2 linked regions of the Drosophila melanogaster genome follow. Changing the gene in region 2 together with the main gene of any one other region gives a genetic interaction. Each region holds a gene or a part of one and is shown on either strand. Other genes may lie near its edges.

Region 1 (11,688 bases), on a different chromosome or scaffold from region 2:
CTGCGGCTACTGTCAGCACCATTACAGCAAACTGGTGCGTATGTGAGGGATAGCATTCGTGATTTTTCCGTTCAAATTCTTGATACTTTGCAGAAAAAGGGCGGCAACGTCAAAACAATACCTCCATATAAACCCATTCAACATGACACCTCTTCCGATTCGTGTTCGTCGCCCGAGAAGGAGATCGATTCAACCATGAACTCCGCGACAACTTCGGCCACAATCATAAAGATTACCAGCAGCAGTGGCAGTGCTGGTGGCAGCAGCAATGTTTTGAATGCAAGCTCCAGTGCTGGAATCTCTGCTGGAAGCAGCAGTGGGAGTGGCGTATCATCTTCCGCAAAGCAGCGCAAGAGCAATGCATCAAGTAAATCATCTAGCAGCAGTAGCAGTAGCTCGTCATCCTCAACAGGAGGGGCTCCCAACCCCTCCTCGAGTTCTGTGCATTCGGGAAGTGCTAGCAATATGACAGGAGGAGGAAGTGTACTACCAGGGAGTAGCAACATCGGCAACATTAGCAATAGTTTAAACAATAATCTGCCCGGAGGCAGTTCGTCCACCAGCAGTGCTGGAAACGTGCCTGGTGGAAGTGGGGGAATTATATCAGCTTCGAGCGGTGGTGCTACGCAATCGACAAGCAGTCAATCGTCAACAGCACCAGGAACCACCAAATCATCGGCCAGCAGTTCGAGCAGTAGTAGCAACAGCTACAAGGAGAAACATAGCAAAAGCTTAAGCAAATCCACATCCAGCAAGGACAAGGATGGAAAAGATAGCTCTACCAATTCAGCGAATAACAATTTCACAAATTCATCTGCATCATCAACATCTTCCAACTCCTCGTCGACACGAGAGAAATCCTCATCAAAGCTTTCTAAGAACAAAGACTCCAATCAAGTACCCAGTGCCACCAGCAGCTTAAGCACAACGAGCAGTATCAACACCCAGCCCAGTTCGTCGACTTCAACTGCTACAGCTGGATCGGGCGGTACTGGGACTCATGTGAGCAGTTCGGCTGCCAGTGGACTTAACTCAGCTCCTTCCACAACCAATGAGCATTCAAATCATGCCCACACCCTTAGCACAAATGGAACCGGAGCCGGAAGCGCAGCCGGAAAGTTGCAATCAGTCAGTAATCTGAGCAACAGTAGTTCTGGTTTTGGATCGGATCTGCGATCAGTCAGCACATCCTCAAGCTCCACTGTGAACGACTCCACCGGAGGATTCGGTAGTAATTCGAATTCAGAAAGGGAGAATTTGTCAGGCGCTGGATCGTCGGCAAGCAACATGCCTGGAACAATAGCTCCTGGTACTGGTGGCGTATCTTCCAGTGCGGCCACTAATCTAAGCACCAATAAGGGAGGCTCTTCGTCATCGACGGCGAATAGCCTTACATCTACGAGCACTTCCTCAGGCAGCTCCTCTAACTCGTCATCGAAAAAACGAAAAGCGGATTCTGCTAAGTCCACTAGCAGTATTTCCACCTCTGGCTCCGCTCTGGAGGATAACAATAGGTGGGGAACGAGAAACGCAAAGAAAAGGTCTTTTACAATTTACATTTTTCAAAATTTGGTAGTTACTTAGTTTACGCCTGATTTTAAAGAAACAAATGGGACTGTGTTGCACATCTATGATTTGCAAAATTGTTAATTTATCGAACACCCGGTGTAGACAACTCTTTTATTTTGTTATTCTAAATAAATTGTAATAATTAGAACATAATGTATATTAAACAGTGCCCAATGTTACTGAGAAACCAGACTTTTTAAATATGTTTTTGTAATTTCATTGAAAAAGGCAACTTTTGGAATCCGTTTCGTTTATTAGAGAATATACTAATACTAAAATAACCCCGTATAAGACCTTTTTCTACTGAAACAATGTATAGAAAAAATCACACTAATATATTTTTCGGTTGTTTCTGTAGCTTAATATCCCGCTATGATATCAAAGATGTTCAAGTTGCACTGACGCCTCTAACAGATTTTGAGAAGGAAATCGAGAAGAGCTCCAAGAGGGTAAGTTGATTTTTTCTTTGTTTATCTTTTAGCATACTATTAATAGAATGATAAACAACTCAGTTATCGTTCCGAAATATTGAGTTAATATAAGCTTTTTTACTTTTAAGGAAACTTGTTTCGGATCTCTTGAGTGATTTTTGCGAAACATTCTCTTAAAGTGTTTTCTCTCTTTTTGGATACAATGTTGCTATATTAATGATGGTTCCCATTATCTTTTACACTTGTATACAACTTGTCATTTAGTTTTTCTCTGATCAAACCTAAAGAGTGGGACAGAGAGTACTACTATATTCGTTTCACTCGCCAAAAGTTTTGAACGCAGGCGCCTTGCCAATTTTTGTATCATACTTATAAGTGGAAATGCAATTGCAAATGCATGTTAAAAATGTTTTGAGAAATTCTGCCGAAGGTGCGCGTTAATTATACAAAAGGTGTTGCCCACCCGTTCTTGTCTTTAAGAAATTCCGTGTTTTTCAATGCTACCCCTTGAACTTCGGAATTTTCGATCGATCCATTTTTTAAAATGGTGTGTGTTTCGATCGAAATACTGTAATAAATCAAATATTAAATTAGTTTGTTATAAATTTGAGAAACTTACTACTACTACTTTGATTTCAAAACTAAAATAATCGGTAAAATCATACCATTAGAACTAATATCAAAATGAAATCATTCTTAGTAATGATATTAAGAGGTATTTTCTGGCCGAGTTGGCCCCCGCCATGTCTGGTTCTATTTTGCCGATCTGATTGATGCTCAATGATGTACCCATGCCCCATTAATTTCCTTTTGAACCAAAAATGCATGGCAAAATATCGAATTTTAATTAAATGCAAATGCGCATGTTAATTTATTGATGTTGAAGTGCCAATGTTCCGAAAGGCAGGCAGGCAGTGGCTTTGAACAAGACAGTTGAACCATGTTGTTGGTCCAATAAAATACCAACATCATCTTTTTCGCCTTGTCATGAGCACGATCACCTGGAATATTCTGCTATAAAATGACCGTATATACAATTTATGAAAGCACATTTTTCTTGTATACTAGCATATTGTATATGTGAGAGCAGATATTTTGTGATTTGTTGGGATTCTTGTTCGGATGGCTAATGTATTTATTGTTGGGGCTATATAGTCATCCCTATCATTTTCTCTGGCGACAAAGTTGCCTTCGTGCCGTGTGCAGACAAAGACTGAAAGCGCTTGACAAATTTTTCAGCGCGATCAGTCGAAAATCGTTGTTAATCGAAGCTAAACTAAAATTAAGGATATTTCTCTTGCGAACCTTTTTATTACGAACGAAAAGTAAATATCAGTTTTTGTCAATGGAAAACGAAAACCAAAACCAAAACCAATCACGCATAACCCAGTAAATTCCAATATTTTGTGTTGTGCTTGTCTAAAAAATATCGGTTCAAGCTCTGCTACAAACCAAACGCGAAGCGATGAAAATACAGTTTTGTCAAGCGATCGTTTAAATTTAGAACTTGTGCGTAATTTGGACCATAATTTGACCCACAAATGAGAGGAGGAATGTATGGCTCCACACAGGAAGCATTTTTCCCACACACTATTATTAATAGATTCCGTTTTTTCGAGTGTGAAAAAACTTTACGGAAACTGTCTCACTCAATAAAATGAGAACTATTTGCGAGGAGTTTTTTTTTCAATCGAGTTTTATTCAAGTACAAATCGATCATCTTTTCATCAGATCAAATCGAATAGTCACTATCCTTGAATAGAGAAAAATTAAAGATACAGTCCTTACTCGACGTAAAAAACACGTACATTTTGATGAGTTTTATAATCTTATTGCATGCAAAAAGTATTATATTTAGTCGGGAATATAAACAAACTCCCAGATGCCTGAGGTTTCCAATGATATGCAACTTTTCGATCATCTTTGATAATCTCCCACTGGGATAAATGTGCATATAATATACACAAAAGTTAGCAAACATCCAAGAATGAGATACGGTCAAGAAAAAACGAGTGAAGGATATGGAATAAAAAACTTTTTCGAAGAATCGAAAAAGTTTAAAAACCGCAGATGCATACCAATATGTTTCCATCCCACTCTCTGGCGTTATTTGATGAAAACTGAAATAAAACGAAGGAAAACTGCTCCGTGTTGCCGCATCTTAAGTTTCTCAACTCGGTGTGCTGAGCAGGAAAACTCAGTGGCAGCGGCGAAAAGTCGACCGCGTTGCCGTGCCGTGTGCACTCACAATTATATAGACTAGTTTGCTTTGAGCAATCTTCCAGTTCAGTACTCGGCGCTTCCGTGTGTGGTTTTAGTGCGTTGTAGGTTCCGTTCTATCTTGGCTATAATACACTCACACCCAACGGTTGGATATCGCCAGCTCTTAACCGATTTTTTTGCACGCAGCAAAAGACCATTGCAAAGCACCTGACTAATCCATCGCAACCGCTAGATAACCAGATTACCGGCCAGGGACGATGCTCATCTGATGGTGGTGCTTTAGCTCTGACTCAGTTTTAGAACACCCAGATATGTACATATATATATCTGCCACAGTTATTTTTTGTGTGTGCTTTTCCCAAATCTATCTACCTGTCTGCGTTATTTTTATACAACATTTTCTGTATAGATAGATACACATTTATTGCTCATGTTTTTCTCTGTGTTCTGTGATTTGAAAAATTCCTCCTTTATTTTTTGTTGTCATGAGAAAGATGTTATTTTCTGATCATTAACATAGGAATCTTCAATATGAATTACGTATACATACGTCCGGTTGGGTAATTTTCTGGCACGGGCGATGACGTCTCGACTGACAGATAAGAATCTTGATAGATGATCTACATAATGCAAATTGAGGAGAAATTCGCGACTGTCAAGTTGAATTTGTAATAGTTCATTGTAAACTTAAGATAAAACAAGCGTCTTAATCGTCCAAATAGGTTAACATGTAGATTAGCTTGAATTAACTAGTTGGGCTTAGAATAATTTGGAAACCATTTAACATACAAAAATGACAGATGCTTACCTCATCGCTTTCATCGCCACCAAAGCTTCCACTCTGCTGCATTTCCCAGCAGGACTTACGCCACGATCCCATCGACTCTATGTGTTCTTCTATTTTGCTATTTCAGATAATAAACTTAATAAGTAAAGTAATTGTACTCGCGTAGATCATTTTGATAGCGTTAAAAAAACCGAAACACAGACAGAATGCCTTCCTTCCAACCGATCGAGGCCCCCAAGTGTCCGCGCTGCGGCAAGAGTGTCTACGCTGCCGAAGAGCGTCTGGCTGGCGGCTATGTATTCCACAAGAACTGCTTCAAGTGCGGAATGTGCAACAAATCCCTGGACTCCACCAACTGCACAGAGCACGAGCGCGAGCTCTACTGCAAGACGTGCCACGGTCGCAAGTTCGGGCCGAAAGGTTACGGCTTCGGCACTGGAGCTGGCACCCTCTCCATGGACAACGGGTCACAGTTCCTGCGCGAGAACGGCGATGTGCCGTCCGTAAGGAATGGAGCCCGCCTGGAACCCAGGGCTATTGCTCGTGCCCCCGAAGGTGAGGGCTGTCCTCGTTGCGGTGGCTATGTGTACGCCGCCGAACAGATGTTAGCCCGCGGTCGCAGCTGGCACAAGGAGTGCTTCAAGTGCGGTACCTGCAAGAAGGGTCTGGACTCGATCCTGTGCTGCGAGGCTCCGGACAAGAACATCTACTGCAAGGGCTGCTATGCCAAGAAGTTTGGACCCAAGGGCTATGGTTATGGCCAGGGCGGTGGTGCTCTCCAGTCCGACTGCTATGCTCACGACGACGGAGCACCGCAAATCCGTGCCGCCATTGATGTGGACAAGATCCAGGCCCGTCCGGGTGAGGGTTGCCCACGTTGCGGCGGTGTGGTCTACGCAGCGGAGCAGAAGCTTTCCAAGGGTCGGGAGTGGCACAAGAAGTGCTTCAACTGCAAGGATTGCCACAAGACTCTGGACTCGATCAATGCCAGTGATGGTCCCGATCGTGATGTGTACTGCCGCACCTGCTACGGCAAGAAGTGGGGACCACATGGCTATGGATTCGCATGCGGCTCTGGTTTCCTGCAGACCGATGGCTTGACCGAGGATCAGATCAGCGCCAACAGGCCCTTCTATAACCCGGACACCACGTCAATTAAGGCCCGTGACGGCGAAGGCTGTCCCCGGTGCGGAGGAGCCGTATTCGCCGCCGAGCAACAGCTGTCCAAGGGCAAGGTGTGGCACAAGAAGTGCTACAACTGCGCCGACTGCCACCGGCCATTGGACTCGGTCCTGGCCTGCGATGGACCCGATGGCGACATCCACTGCCGCGCCTGCTACGGCAAGCTCTTCGGCCCCAAGGGCTTTGGTTACGGCCACGCCCCCACTCTAGTGTCAACCAGTGGCGAGAGCACCATCCAGTTCCCAGATGGCCGTCCTCTGGCCGGACCCAAGACTTCGGGCGGCTGCCCGCGTTGCGGTTTCGCCGTGTTCGCCGCCGAGCAGATGATCAGCAAGACCAGGATCTGGCACAAGAGGTGCTTCTACTGCTCGGATTGCCGCAAATCGCTGGACTCGACCAACCTGAACGATGGACCCGACGGCGATATCTACTGCCGAGCCTGCTACGGCCGCAATTTTGGACCCAAGGGAGTGGGCTACGGTCTGGGCGCGGGCGCTTTGACAACGTTCTAAACGAGCCTATTTTATGTATATCCAATCGAAACCCACATCCATGTCTGTGAACCGTTCCGATGCATCTGTCTAATGACCAATCTGTTTTAACTAACTATCCCTGAAATTAGCTAACTTAGTCTTCGTTTTGCTTCCAACGATTTTTGATCAACGATGCACTGAATGCAATTCAATTTTCTTTAGGTTATGTGAGATTAAGTTTAATATGAAAACAAGAAAAAAAGAATAAATGCCAAAAACATAAAACTTACGACTCAAAGCGAAACTAACCATCGAACACAGACTAACGAACTAAACGACATTGACCACATCGAGAAAAGCAAAACTTTCTGCAGGTGAAACTGCTGCGAGCCAAAGTCGTTATTACTTTTTTGTATCTTAAACTATTTATTTTCGAAGACCAGCCAAGTATGTCTTATGCTCCAAATCGAATTACCCAAAAGCATACTTTGTGCAAATGGAAAAATTTTATACACATAAATATACTCTTACGACGAACAATGATGAAAGATATGATGTTGTATATTTAGCTGATTTAGTTCTTACGATATACTTATGAAATCTGATTATTTATAATGATGTTTGAATGATTTCTCACCCATCTAATCTCTTGCATTCTGTTTGGGATGCCAGCCATGGCAGATATAAAATATTTATTTATATATATATACATCAGCGTACATGTTCTGCATACACACACACACACACATAACATCCAATAATATATGCCCCAGTGGGTTCCATGAAAACAAAATGATTTCGAAATGGTTTTCGTAGTTTTAATTGATTTAATTGGGTGTGCATACCTGAGATTTCTGCATCTAAATGGTTGGTTGGCAATCTGATTGGAATGACCGGTGGGTGGTTGGGTTGAGTTCAATTCCGTTTGTTTCGGGATCGTTCGGTTCGGATTGAGCCAGCTCATCTGGTCTATATATAGCTTGTTCGGCCGACAAACATCGTGAAAAATAATTGCTCAACATACGCACAAAGAACGTTCCCTACATATACGTACAGGAATAAATCCTTGGTTGTGTGTGTGTGTGGCCTCTCGAGAAAAACATCGAAATGTTCCATAACCGTACTGAAATGGTTTTCTAAATATAAATATGATGCCAATATGCCTCACACAGCTGACCCGAAAGCTTTTCACAGCACTCAAAACTCTCACTCAAGAGAAGAACTTAAGAGATTGTATTTATTCGCATATATACTTGTGAGGAATCCCTAGTTATATTATAATAATTATAACACGTGCCTGCTGAGAATGTTGTGTAATAAATGCTTTACTCACCCACCCACCTAGAGCAAAGTTCTTATTGCTAATGCACTTTTAGGATCACCCCCCACCCGAAATAACCCCTTGGGAACAAAATTTTAATGATTCCGTCCCACGCCCACTTGCGCGCATTATTCACATTTCTATTCATTTTATTCGACATCCTATAGGTATGGTATGGTTTTATGCTCCGTGACGTTGACCACGAAAATACGTTGCCAAGGGGTTGGCCAAACTAAATAAATTATTTTTTGTTTTAATATAATTTTTTTTTGTTTCAGACACAAATATCAAATAAATCGCCTTCAGCCAGGTGTGTTTACGTTAGTTTTGGTATCGCATTGGCGAGAATATTTATAGACTTACCGAGTCAGCGTCTATTTTCGAGTGATTTTGGTTTTGAAATTGTTTCGCATATGACACACGGCACTTCAAAAACACCCGAATTGACGAGCCACAACAGTGAGAATATTTTTTGCGGACTGCGCCGCTGATGTTGATCTCTAAATATACTTGGAGATGTATTCTACTCGTATTCGATATGGCTTTTCTAGTATGTTATTAATGTTCAATTTCTGGCTTTGAATGGCGCGAATAGATTTATGCCTTGCTGAAGTCCGCGACTATTTGTATAACGGATCGAACATGATAATGGCTAAGATAGAGAACATGTGGTTGTGCTGATTTTTTTTCGATTTGCGGAAGACGAGTGCAAGGTTTTCCAGTGGGGATTTGTGTTTACCCACCGACCGCTTTGAGATGTTACAGAAAAGGCGATTGATTGATTAGATCAGGAAATGACACATTCGAAATGACACAATGTGCAATCAAATGTGCATGATATCAATTGCCTTACGTGACTAGCGTGCATTTAATGGCCAACTTATTGATTTCACATTACAAAGTAAAATGTCCCAGTGTGTTGGTTGGTTTTGGCGGGGGTTAAAATGGAACCGCATCGAATCGGAACCGTTTGGCCACAGACTGACAGTTTTCAGCGGCTCACTGCTGCGCTCATTTTGGCCACCAATTGTGAGGACCAAATTGCAAACTACCGCCGGGAACTGTGGGGGGTGTGGCCTGAGAACCAAAAAATCAGGAAGCGGAAGGACCTCAAGCGGGTGGCTCGGGTGCCATGTCCTTCGATAGCGATAGTAGTGGTGCACAGTTTAAAAATCCACCCGCAAACGGGCAGGGTGATAATTCATAATTTGTGTTCCTCTTGACTGTGTCGATTATGAGCGGTTGTCAAATGTCAGGGGAAAATAACTGAGAATTACATGTGCTGACTGACTATTGGGTGTACTTGCAACAAAACTACTTTTTATGACACCCTCACTCGGCTGAGGGTTTGTTTTTTTTATGATCTTGTCTCCGAAAGTCAGTCGCTCGGCGTGAATTTCACTTGGCCAGTTCCTCTTAAATGACCATGAAACTCGCTTCGACAAATACCTTTTGGCGTGGCAATTAATTTATTTCACTTCCCTGAAATGTCAGGTCACCCGAGCAACAACAACACCATGTTTGGGTGTGGGTGGGTCGTTGAGTTTTTATCGAATCTCCGGGTCGCGTGTTGCCTGAATTTGACAAATTCCCGTTAGCGACACGCGTCGCTATATTATTCCTGTTTTTGGACCTTTTGTGAATGCCTTTAGTTGTGTCTTGTGGTACAGTTACCGTGCTGTTGTTGCTAATAAAAAAAATGGATATGTGGGTAGTTTGGTCCTTGACCAAACCTTACCTCAAAGACTTGGCTTGTCTAAATTTTAATATAATAGTTGGGATAGCAAATTTAGCATCTTTGTCATAAATAATGCCAACCTATTGTTATATTTTCACTGGGATGTGAATAAATATCAACCTGATTCATATTTTGTGCATGTTTTCAACCCCAAAATAAAACTCCCACGACCTGGTAGCACTGGCTGAACTAAACCTCTGAACTGACACTTGTGTAAATATTTCAGAGTGACATTTTTGTTTTAATATGATTTTTGGCAGGCCTGAGCTGCTTACCCTCCTTTCGTTTGATGATCAATAGTGCGTCCTTAATGGGTTTGTTCAGTGGCGTGTGCAAAGTTAAAAACGTTGCCTGCAGAAATATTTGCACAATTCATTTGATTCCTTGAGTGCTGCACTCACTGCTGTTTGTTGGGAAACCCTCTTTTTTAGATTTGTTTGTCGGGCTGAACGATCCGCCACTGTCGAGACTTAAAAGCATCACCTTTCTGGCCCAGGGATTGCACTAATTAATGCATGTTTAGGTGTTTTATGGCAGAGTTCCTATTAATTATGAACCAACCATTTCGTGTCCCTATGACAATGAAAATTTTACAACAGGTAACTTACAAAAAGCAATGAAACTTGCTTTTTTATTAAATAATAATCTGATATTCTTGGCGGCACTTAAAGTTGTTGTATCACAATGTACACGTTCATTGTTGGTGATGTTCGTGATACGGAGTTTTGACTGCAGTAAAATTAATTTTCCAAGCGGCAAAGAAGCGGCATTGTTCCTTTGCCACATTTCTGGTGATTCGATTACGGTCGCAATGTTGCAACGGCAACATTTGTGCCCCAACACCGCCCAACCCAAGAACCCAAAGACTCCCCCTTGGCTTTTGTTGGGTTTGTTTGTTTTGTAAAACAGGCACGTTCACCTGTCTTCCTCCCATGCCCCTCCACCGTTGTTGCGTCGCCAGGTAAATGCCACTTAACGTTCATTTTTGCCTTTCTGCACCATGATTTTTTGGGCTTTTATTTGCATCGCAAATTATGCTCGCTTTTCTTCTTCTGCTTACCACTCCAGCTGCAAACAATCTGCTGCTTCTTCTTCTTGCACTTCTTTTATTTATTGCCAATTGCAAATGTCTGCGGTGGCGGTTCTTTCTCTCCCTCTCCTCTCGTTCTCCTCTCCTGCCATACAATTCAATTATTTTTCATTTTCCTGTTTTGTCTTCTTAAATCGCTGTCTGGTAACTACAACAACAAATACGGCTACAACAACAGCAGTGAGAGTAGAATTAACCTGCATGCAGCAATTGCCACCCACCCCCACCCTCATCGGGCTATCTCGCTCGCTCGCTGATGGGCATTGCATAAAACACACACAACGAAATATCTACATCTGCGTTTGTTTTTATGTTGCAACGGTCTCTCGCTTTGCTCTCCGTATCTCTCACTCTCTTTCTCTCCGAAGTTGCTCTCCGAAACTGTTCTTAGGCTGGATGGGAACAGTTTTGTGTTGTATTAAAGTTTATAGTTATAGAAATAAATATACAAAATCTTCATGAATTTGTGGGTTATTAATACTTTTATTATATTTAAACAATATTTACGTGTATAATATGCAAAAAAAAGTGTTAGTGCCTTAAGTATAATTGAAGCTCATCTGTTGACCGGTCTAAAAACGATGTTACAAGCAATAAACTCCTTAACCCATAAACAACAAAGCACCATTATTATATGCATATGTACATATGTAGTTGTTCTTCTATAGCCAGATATTTATCCCTTTCTAATGGGTGTCATAAAATAAAATAACAATTACTACAGCGACTAACAGGTACTTCTTGGCCAAGGAATTTCAGCTATAATTTGCAGTCCCCCTGCTAACTTGGTCAGTCTTCTTTTAATTTATTGCTCTTTGTCACATTTCTGTTTTGCTAAGCTTTTCTTTAGCCTTCGCTCTTCCTGGTCATTACA
Region 2 (9,025 bases):
TTAAAATCAAATTGAATAGAAATTCTGTCGTTCTCGCAAATTGTGCGTGGTAAATAAAGGCAAAACTGGTGGTCCTATTAGAAAGTGTAGGTCCTTTTTCTGGTTTCGAGCGAAGTGCACTGTGTGTGTGTGTGTGTGTGTGTGTGGCGAAACTAATTTAGCCATTGCATTTGTGAATCGCTGCTGAAAGGATTAAAATGAATAGCGAACGCTGCTCGCCAGCATAATGAAAGCCACCAGAAGGCGGCATAACTACCAAAATCCAACCACCCCGTTTTACATTTTCATTTAAAGGGTGGGTAGGTCATTCAGCTGGGTCCGTTAATACATATATACACTTATACGCATACATATTTATGTGTATATATAGTGGTGAATGCATTCGCGGGCTGTGTGAGCGATTTTCAGAAATACCAAACCAATTATCCGTGAAAATGTTAAATGCTCTTGAAGCTGAAATCTGTGTTTTCTGGTTTCCTTTGAATTTCCCCACGGCTCTTTGCTTTCATTCAAACGCCAAATTGACGGCGACAGTTGTTCAATGTTTTGTTTACAGAAAAAAGAGCACGAGAAAATCATTAACCTTGGCGGGGGTTAAAATTAAGTCGAGTTATGCGGCAGGAAACAGTAAATGGCGAACGGGAAACGGAAACGAATCACTTGACCCTGGGAGAGTTTTTTGCCAAATGTGAAAAACTAAAATGGGTCAAACTTTTCGCGCTGCTGACAGTTGGTGACAGAAAATCATCAACGCAAAGCACTGAAAATTGAAATCAACACAACTAAATTGAAATGAATTCGATGAAATTTGGGTCAGCCAAAACTGAGCAGAAATCACCAACCAAAAAAAAAAAAAATTGAAATACATAGAAACCTCACCAACTTACCAATTGAAATGGGAAACTATTTGGCAATCCTTGCTGTTGCTGTCAAAGCGGCACTCGAAGGCAATCATAAAATGCAATTGGTTTTGGCAATGCGAGAATCCTTATAATTCAGTCCTTTTCAACTCGTTTTTGGGCACTTTCATTTAATGAGTACAATCGATTTCCGTTCGCCTTACTTTAATTTCAATATATCTAATTCGGTACGGTGTCGTTTAGATTTTTTTCTTATATTTTTTTTCAGTTTTTGCTGGGCAACACGCCTAGTAGAATTCGATTGGAAATGTAAAAAGCGACTGATGGCAAGTGAAAATTGCCAAGCACACGAGCTGAGCAACAGTCTACAATATTTTAAATATATATACAATCCGCGGCATTCTCTCCCGATTTCGCTGTGTATCTGCAGATATATACCGTCTATATATCGCCAGAGAGCGAAACAAAACAAAATGCGCGATCGTCAGACACAAACGCAAAAATATATTCTTGGCATCGTGCGTATGTATCTTTATCTACAGTTTGGCTGCAGCGCCATTAATAAGATACAAAGATACAAATGAGTACTTCGCACTGCATGTTACTTCCAAATGGAGTTCCCATTTCTCGCCTCGAACCTGGACATCGGCTACTTATTGGATTAACCGAAAAGATTTTCCTCCATTTAGTACGAATACATGCACGCACACTCTTGACGTCATCAACTGAGCTGATTTTCTCATTCGGACGCACGCCGGCATTTTCCATCTATATCTCATTGCTGGGCTATTTGTGTGCTTTTGTGTATCTCGCTGTAACGGGCCCTAAAAATAAATTTCATTGAAAATTGGAGCGAACATCGCTCGAATTCGCTGTTCCGTCAAACTAGTGGAACATTTCTCTGTGCCAAGTGAAAAGTTTCTACTTCCATTAGAAGTTTTCCCTTAACTTAAGTAGCAGTAAACCATTAGTTTGCTGCAATACGAACTAAAATTTCATATTCCATTCAAAAAGTTGTCCCTAAAAGTTACAATTAAGCTTTTTCTCAAACATGTTCAAAATATCTATCTGTATCTATTAACTACATATAATTGCATTCGGTAAGTAAGTAGGTTAAGTTCCCTACACAAACATTTGTTACTTTTACCAAAATAATTCTATCCAGTTTCGCAGTTTTTTTTTCTGTGCATGCTTCTCAAGGTCAGAACTTCGCTCCTCTAGCTCTGTATATATCATTCTATCTCCCTATGGGAATATGCCGAAAATAGAACTCACTAGCCCGGAATTCACAGACTGCAGTCTGCACTCCTAGGCCAAAAAGAAAAACAAATAAAGAAATGAAAACTGCACTGTATTTTTGGGCTATAAATAAACGGAGCAGACGGGAGAAGCAGATGCAATCGAAACTTTTTGAAATTTTAGCTGCACTCCCAAAGGAATACTATAGAAACTACAAAGTATTGTGACGTTCCAATTTCAGCGGTGATAACTTACGTTTCCAAGTGTTGTTTTCTTCTTATTGTCTACTTGGGTATCCGAGGCGCCCTTGAAAGGGGCCTGTTCCTTTGGCTGTTAACTCTGCTGGCTGAAATTAAAAAGAAAATATATTAAATTTAGAGCCAAAGGCAATTGTGAGTGAATTGTGGGGAGTGAGGGTCGAGTAGCCATTTACCTGGCCATTAACACGCTGCGCATAAGCCGCATCATGCCAACTTAATTATACGGCCTCAAAGGCTGCGGCACGCAAAACAATGATGAAGGCGGGTGGTGAAAGTTGGAATTCATTGGATGGCATGGGATTGGATGGGATTGGATAGTATTGAATGGGATTCGATTGGGCGCGGTTGACAGTCGAAGATAATGAAGTTCGGAATGCGCTTAAGGTTCGCTTATTGTGCACTGCGACAGATAAGCTCCTCGGTGGGCCACACACTCTTGACCAGGTTAATGAATAATCAGCTGGGGTCGAGCATATGGCTGCGAAGGTAGATCTTTTTAATTAACTTGCCGTGGCCGAGTTCCTTTCGACCAAAGGAAACAATTAAACAATGGAAAACCAATTTCCGAAACTATAATAACATGATTACATCGGCGGTCTTTTGAGCATCGAACGCGTAAAGGGAATTTAATAGAAATTAATTGTTCACACAATTGCATTGATATCCCTTATAATTAATTTTCTTTAATGAGCACAATTCGGAGCTTCATTGCGTTACTAAAATGATACAGTAAAATGTGGCATGAAAAATTATACATCAATTCATACATTTTATGATGATTTCGTTTTTAGTATTATTGCAGATTGGTTTTATTTGCAATCACTAAGCTTTTGAATATAGCAATATTTAAACATAATACAGATTTCAGCAACCAACAAGTTGACTTAAAACAAGTGACTTAAAAACTTCAATAGCTCGGAAACATTTGGAATATTTTTCCATATTAGATTTTGGTAATATAAATGCTATTTGTCTGTTGAAACAAAAACTTTTCAACAAAAAGGTGTACAACTTTATGTAGTTTTTAAAATACCTTTAAATGAATGGATAAAGAAAATGAGACAACACTAAGAAATCATAAGCAATACATTTACTTTAAAGTTGCCAACGCGCTACTTTCGAGCAGTTTTTAATTTAAGTTGCAAAAGTGGCCAGTAAATTCGAATCAAAACTAGTTTAGGTGGATATCTATTGCCAGCGTGCTGCAATGGCACTTCTTTAATGCTGCCAGCGACCTTGAACTTCCGCCCAGCTGAAGCACACTCGAAAAGAGCGGAGGAGGGATGGGGTTGGAGGGCAGATGAAGTGAATTGAAAAGAGGCGAGTGCTCGCAATAAAGCTAAAAGGAAAACTGGAAAAAACTGTTGCCTACTTTCCGGCGGCACATAAATTTAAACCGCACACGCCTCTCTCACTTAATCTTCCGTATTATTTTTATTTTTATATTTCGAAACGAGAAATTAATTGTTTTGTGTGAGAGGTGTGAATATAAAAATAAATACGAGAAAGCCCACCACAAACATTCCAAATGGATGGCGAGAATGGGAGAAGGAACAAGCAAAAGCAAAACCGAAACCGAAACAAAAGCAAACAAAGCAATCAATGATAAGCGAGCAGCGGGCAAAAGACAAACACAAACAACAGAAATGGAAATAGAAAATCTCTGAAAATGTCGCTGATTGAATCGAACTAAAAATAAGGCAGCAACACGGCGTATGAGCAATGTGCGTCTCTGTGTGCGTGCCTGTGTGTGTGAGTGTGGGCAAATTATTGCCATGCTTTCTGATGAGATATGCACACACACACACACACACACACACACGTAATATAGCGTATAACAGATCCTCATCAACATATATTTGTATACATGATTATGTCAAAATTTGTTAATAAATTTTGAACGCGAAGCCGAAGGAGATGAAAATAATTTTGACAGCTTTTCACGAATGTGGGAGTGTGCACACGGTGGGATGTTGAGAAAGCGCAATTTTCAGCCAGGTGACATTTTCCCAAGCTCCTTCTCTCGCCGAGATTCTCACGCCTTTCGCCGTTTTCTCTCTTCTTTTTTTTACATAATCAGCAGCCATTGAATGCGTCGAGCTCATCTCCATTTGAATGCGTTTCCAAAAACGAGCTTAAAATCAGGACGTATCCACCCCGTTCGACTCACTTGCGTTGGCTTCCTCTATTTCCTGATGCTTCGCGAAACTTTTGCAAATTTATTCGCATGCCTTGGCGGCACAAGGACTTTCACTGACTTCACTTTCAAACTGAGGTACGATGTATTACCGCCTTGGCTCAAACCAACACTCGCGTCGCGATTACTGGTGCTTTTGGACGCACCCTCACGCACTGCGCGACAGGTGAAAGATCTTTGGGTAGATCTTTGCACCCCTCTATATACACTTAATAGATATATATATATGGATATAGGTGGTTGGGAATCGAACTGGGCTATAGCTATTATCGGCGTATCGGTCCGCACGTCCACTCGCGAGCGTGCCAGAAATGAAAATGAATGTTTTTCTCTGCTCGACTCTCGAACGCTTGATGATCAGCCGTTCTTGAGGTGAAATTTTATAAATATAACCTGAGGCAACAACAAAAGTGCCACAAATATTTCTGCGTCTTCTTCCCACTTTCACGTAGCACTTTTGTTGTTTCCCAGCTTCACCCGACCCCAACGAACCTGTGCAAGAATTATATACATATATACATATAATATAATATATGTACCATAATTGTCTGTAAGAATTCCTCTCGCTTTTTACAATGTCGCGCAGAAAGTCCAAGAGCGACAATATATTGTTCAATACGTATTCTTACCTGTTATTGTTCTGGCTTATTTCGCAGTTATTAGAGTGAGATTTTCACTTTTCTTTAGTCCAGCGGAAAGAAAAGCTGAGGAAAAGATCGACGCCCACGCATTTATCTGGCAGAATGATTCATTTTCGAATTTTTTTAAATATTTATAGAAATATTGATACTTATATAGAATAAGGAAATTGATGTCTTAGCAAATATCGCGCGAGTTTTATGTAGTTATAGAATTCAGCATAATTAAAAGTGTTAACAGAAAGACAAATGATTTAGAGATAGGTAGGTTTTTTACTCTAGACATCATAATAAAATATATACGCTTAAGATTTGTCATTGAATTATTAATATTTATTTCATCTTAATTTATTAAGTTCTGTTTCTAAGCACTTGTTTACGTAATATATATTAATAATATGCCTAAGAAGATCAACATTTGTTACTATGTTGTCTTAAATCATTTAGTTCTTTAATATTACTTATTTTTCGCTTATTATTCTATAAATACCAAATTCCTCTCCGTCATCACATGCAGTATGATTGGTCTGCATTTAGCCATCCTCGCCAGACATTCGGTCTTTTGTTCGGTCATTTGCTTGTCCCACATGACATCTTGTCAATAGGCTGATGAATCGGGTTAGCCGTTAATATATTTTCGGAAAAAATAGCGAGCTAAAACAAAGCCGCAGCCGCAGTCAAAACAAAAACAAACCGAAAAAATGCGAATTATGAGCGGGCCAAAACAAAGATGTCAACACGTTCGCCAAGGCAGCTCAAGTTGTTGACGGACTCTAGGTCAGTCCCACTGACAACGCCATAGCCACAGCTATATCCTCTATTACACGCTGAGAAAAAGTTACTAAAATGGTAACCAAATGTATTTTTTGAATATATATAACATACATAATTAGGTTTCGAACAGCATCTCTTCATCAATATAATATTTTGATGTCACTAATAAAAAGTTAAAGTGTGTGCCCCTCCTATTCGATGCTGATATAACGAAAATTATTAATTAACGATGTTCCTTTGAAAGTAATTAATTTATCAAACTGCTTTCCAAGAATTAACTAAGGATTCGTATATTTTCCATGTGCATGAGAATCACCGCTGGATTTGTGCGCAGTTGCTGGTTCTCGTGAAATTGAAATTGCGTATTGCGGACATTGCATTGTGAACACTGCAACAAGGCTATCGGAACGGCGACAATTGTATAGCACGAGTTAAGACCCATTTCCATTAGCGGAGCGTCCGAAATAGTGGCATCTATTCATTCCCAGCATATTTGAGAGCAACTCATTAGGCCCGAGCCATGATTAATTAGAACTGATGGATGGCCAATTGACGAATGGAAGGCATGGCTGCGGCGATGCGAGCCAGGAGCCAGCAGCCAGGACGCATTATTGATGGACACGTATGCTGGGAATCCGGAACCTCCAGTGAAAGCCACTCGACCAGGGGACACTTGGCATTGCCAGCCAGCGCCTCGTCCTAATTGCCCAAGAAAGGGCAGCCAATTCAGTCAACGCAGGAGCAACATGGTAAAGTAGCAATAATTACGAATTAGCAGACAATTTCAAGTATTAGCCAAGTCCAACTTACTAAGAGGGTGGTCGCAAAAGTTGCTAGTTGATTGGTATTTTACAGCAAAGTTTAATTGAAATCGGCCAGGGATTATGGCCCTGAAAATAAGCTTAGTTCAAGGGCTTTTGAAGTAAGCTAATCCATTTTGTTTTACAAAGAAAATAGCTACCAAGCTTATCTCTTTTCCTTGCAATAAGCTGTATTAAATTGATAAATTTAAAGGAGAGTCAAAAAAATATACCCAATATTGAAATTGATTCTTAAGCTTGAATTCCTGGGGGATTAAAATTTCAATTGAATTATGGAGAGTTAATTTGTGGAAAATCCATTTTCTAGGAATTTAAGCTTTTTTGCCAATGGATTCGCTTTCAGAGAAATCCCTTGTATATGTTTAAACTCGTTATGAACTGCTTAATTTTTCTTTAATTGATGCATATTTTCTATAAACTAAAGCATATTGACATTAAAGCTTTCCGCGAAATAATAATTGATTCAAATTGTTAAGCTTGAATTAGTGTGAAATTTACATTCTGTAAATTTATGCTACATTTTTCCAACCGTTTTCCGCTCAGAAAAATTCCTGTATAATGTTAAACACACATATTTAAACGCTTAAGCTTTAAGGGTACAATTTAATTTAACTATTAAAAATATTCTAGGCATTAAGCTTTTCAAGAATATTTAAAGCCATTTCATTATTTATTTTGCTTCCAACACGTTACTAAAAGATAAAAATTACTAAGTGGTTCCGGATTAAGAAACTGGCTAAGCACACCTCCACAAAGATATGTCCAACAGCAGGGGGCCCCCGAAAACAAACTATTTCCAGTCAGACAAATGGCGTTAAGCACATAATAACCAATTTCTCTAAATACGGCCATAATTATGAACGCCTACACACACTCTTACATCCAAAGAGTCCTGGCAAACACAAACTCACACACTCACACGCGAATGATCCTTGTGAAGTGGCGCTGCTGTTGTTCTTCTTGTTTCTGCCTACTTCATTTGGGCGCGCTTGTTCTCGAGACTCGAGAGTGAAAGTGAGAGCGGGAAAGGGAAAGCGAAAGTGAATGTGAAAGGCATAGGATGGGGTGAAAGTTGGTAAGTGAGAACGGGCAAGGGCAAGGATTTATCGTAATTAGGCATGCATGAGCATATGCTGTCGTCTAAGCTCAAGGATGACTCTCATCCTCCGCGATATTTTGTCGTGCAGTGCAAGAAATTTAATACCAATCGATCTTATATTTCCACAGTTTTAATAACTTATGATTTGAAAAATCTAAGGGACAAAAAAATGTTGTTTTTTTTTATTTTAAAATAGCTGTAGTACTTTTTTTTTTTAGTTTTATGATTTCCTTCATAAATAAGTGTACATGGTTGGCAAAATATTTCCCCCATTCAATGTCACCAATAAATTTTAGATAACTGAATCAATTGTATGCAGTTATTTATGAGTAACAATTATCGCAATTAAACCTTCATACTTAAATTTAATATATGTTTTGTTGCTATAAAGGCTGACTCAATTACAATATAATATGGCCAATTATTTTCCCTCTGTGTGCACAAACACAGACTTGGGCAAACAGCAAGGAAAGGGGCGAGAAAATGGTGGGAGTGATGGTGGGAAAAAGGGAAAAAGCGGCCCCAATGTACATAATTAATTGTGCTGCTGTGTTGGCAAACACGCGGGCGCCGGAAAGTAGGCAACACGCTTTTTTTGGCAAAACGGTTCGCCGTAATTGATTGCCTCATGCACGTCACACAACCACACACACACTAACGCATATACACACATATTGAGAAGCCAAAGCGGTGTGTCAATGTGTGTGAGGGTGTGCAATTTCCGGCGGAGCTACAAGTATTTTGAAATGAATATTTCTTTAATTAGTCCGCTGCTGGCACTGCCATTTGCTGCGGCTTCAAAGGGGTTTGGATATTCTAAAAGGCCAAGCCACAAAAGACTTGACCGCAAATAATAATGCACAAATGCTGCCGCACCGCAAGTGTTTCCAGGCAACACACGCACACACACACACAGACACACATCCACTCGCAGATGGCCGGGTCGGAATATTTTCTTAAATTAACATTAGCAACATTCGGAGCTGCCATTAAGACGGTCGCTCAGCAGCCATTTCAAGTCTCTCGCAAGCTGAACCCGAAAGGTCATTCCGCAAGTACGGTCCAACTTCAATAAGTTGAACATTGCATAGTCTTGGATTTCCCAAAATTTAATTGATTTCGTTTTAAATAATTTTA

What was found.
Region 1: of tn (region 2) and Mlp84B, changing one suppresses a phenotype caused by changing the other (phenotypic suppression), as found in Drosophila melanogaster (one study listed by BioGRID).

The regions. Positions count from the first base shown.
Region 1 is NT_033777.3:7,109,288-7,120,975, reverse strand, and holds Mlp84B (muscle LIM protein at 84B), read left to right. Parts: upstream 1-3,243; 5' UTR 3,244-3,325; intron 3,326-4,259; exon of another isoform or gene 4,260-4,324; intron 4,325-5,137; 5' UTR 5,138-5,216; coding exon 5,217-6,704; 3' UTR 6,705-8,126; downstream 8,127-11,688. Other genes in the region: Alh (alhambra), read left to right, coding at 1-34, 94-1,514, 1,928-2,018. UniProt on the Drosophila melanogaster protein: Plays a role in cell differentiation late in myogenesis. Transcription factor Mef2 is essential for expression.
Region 2 is NT_033778.4:18,983,196-18,992,220, reverse strand, and holds the start of tn (thin), read right to left. Parts: upstream 4,878-9,025; 5' UTR 4,530-4,877; intron 2,838-4,529; exon of another isoform or gene 2,533-2,837; intron 2,446-2,532; 5' UTR 2,355-2,445; intron 1,185-2,354; exon of another isoform or gene 888-1,184; intron 1-887.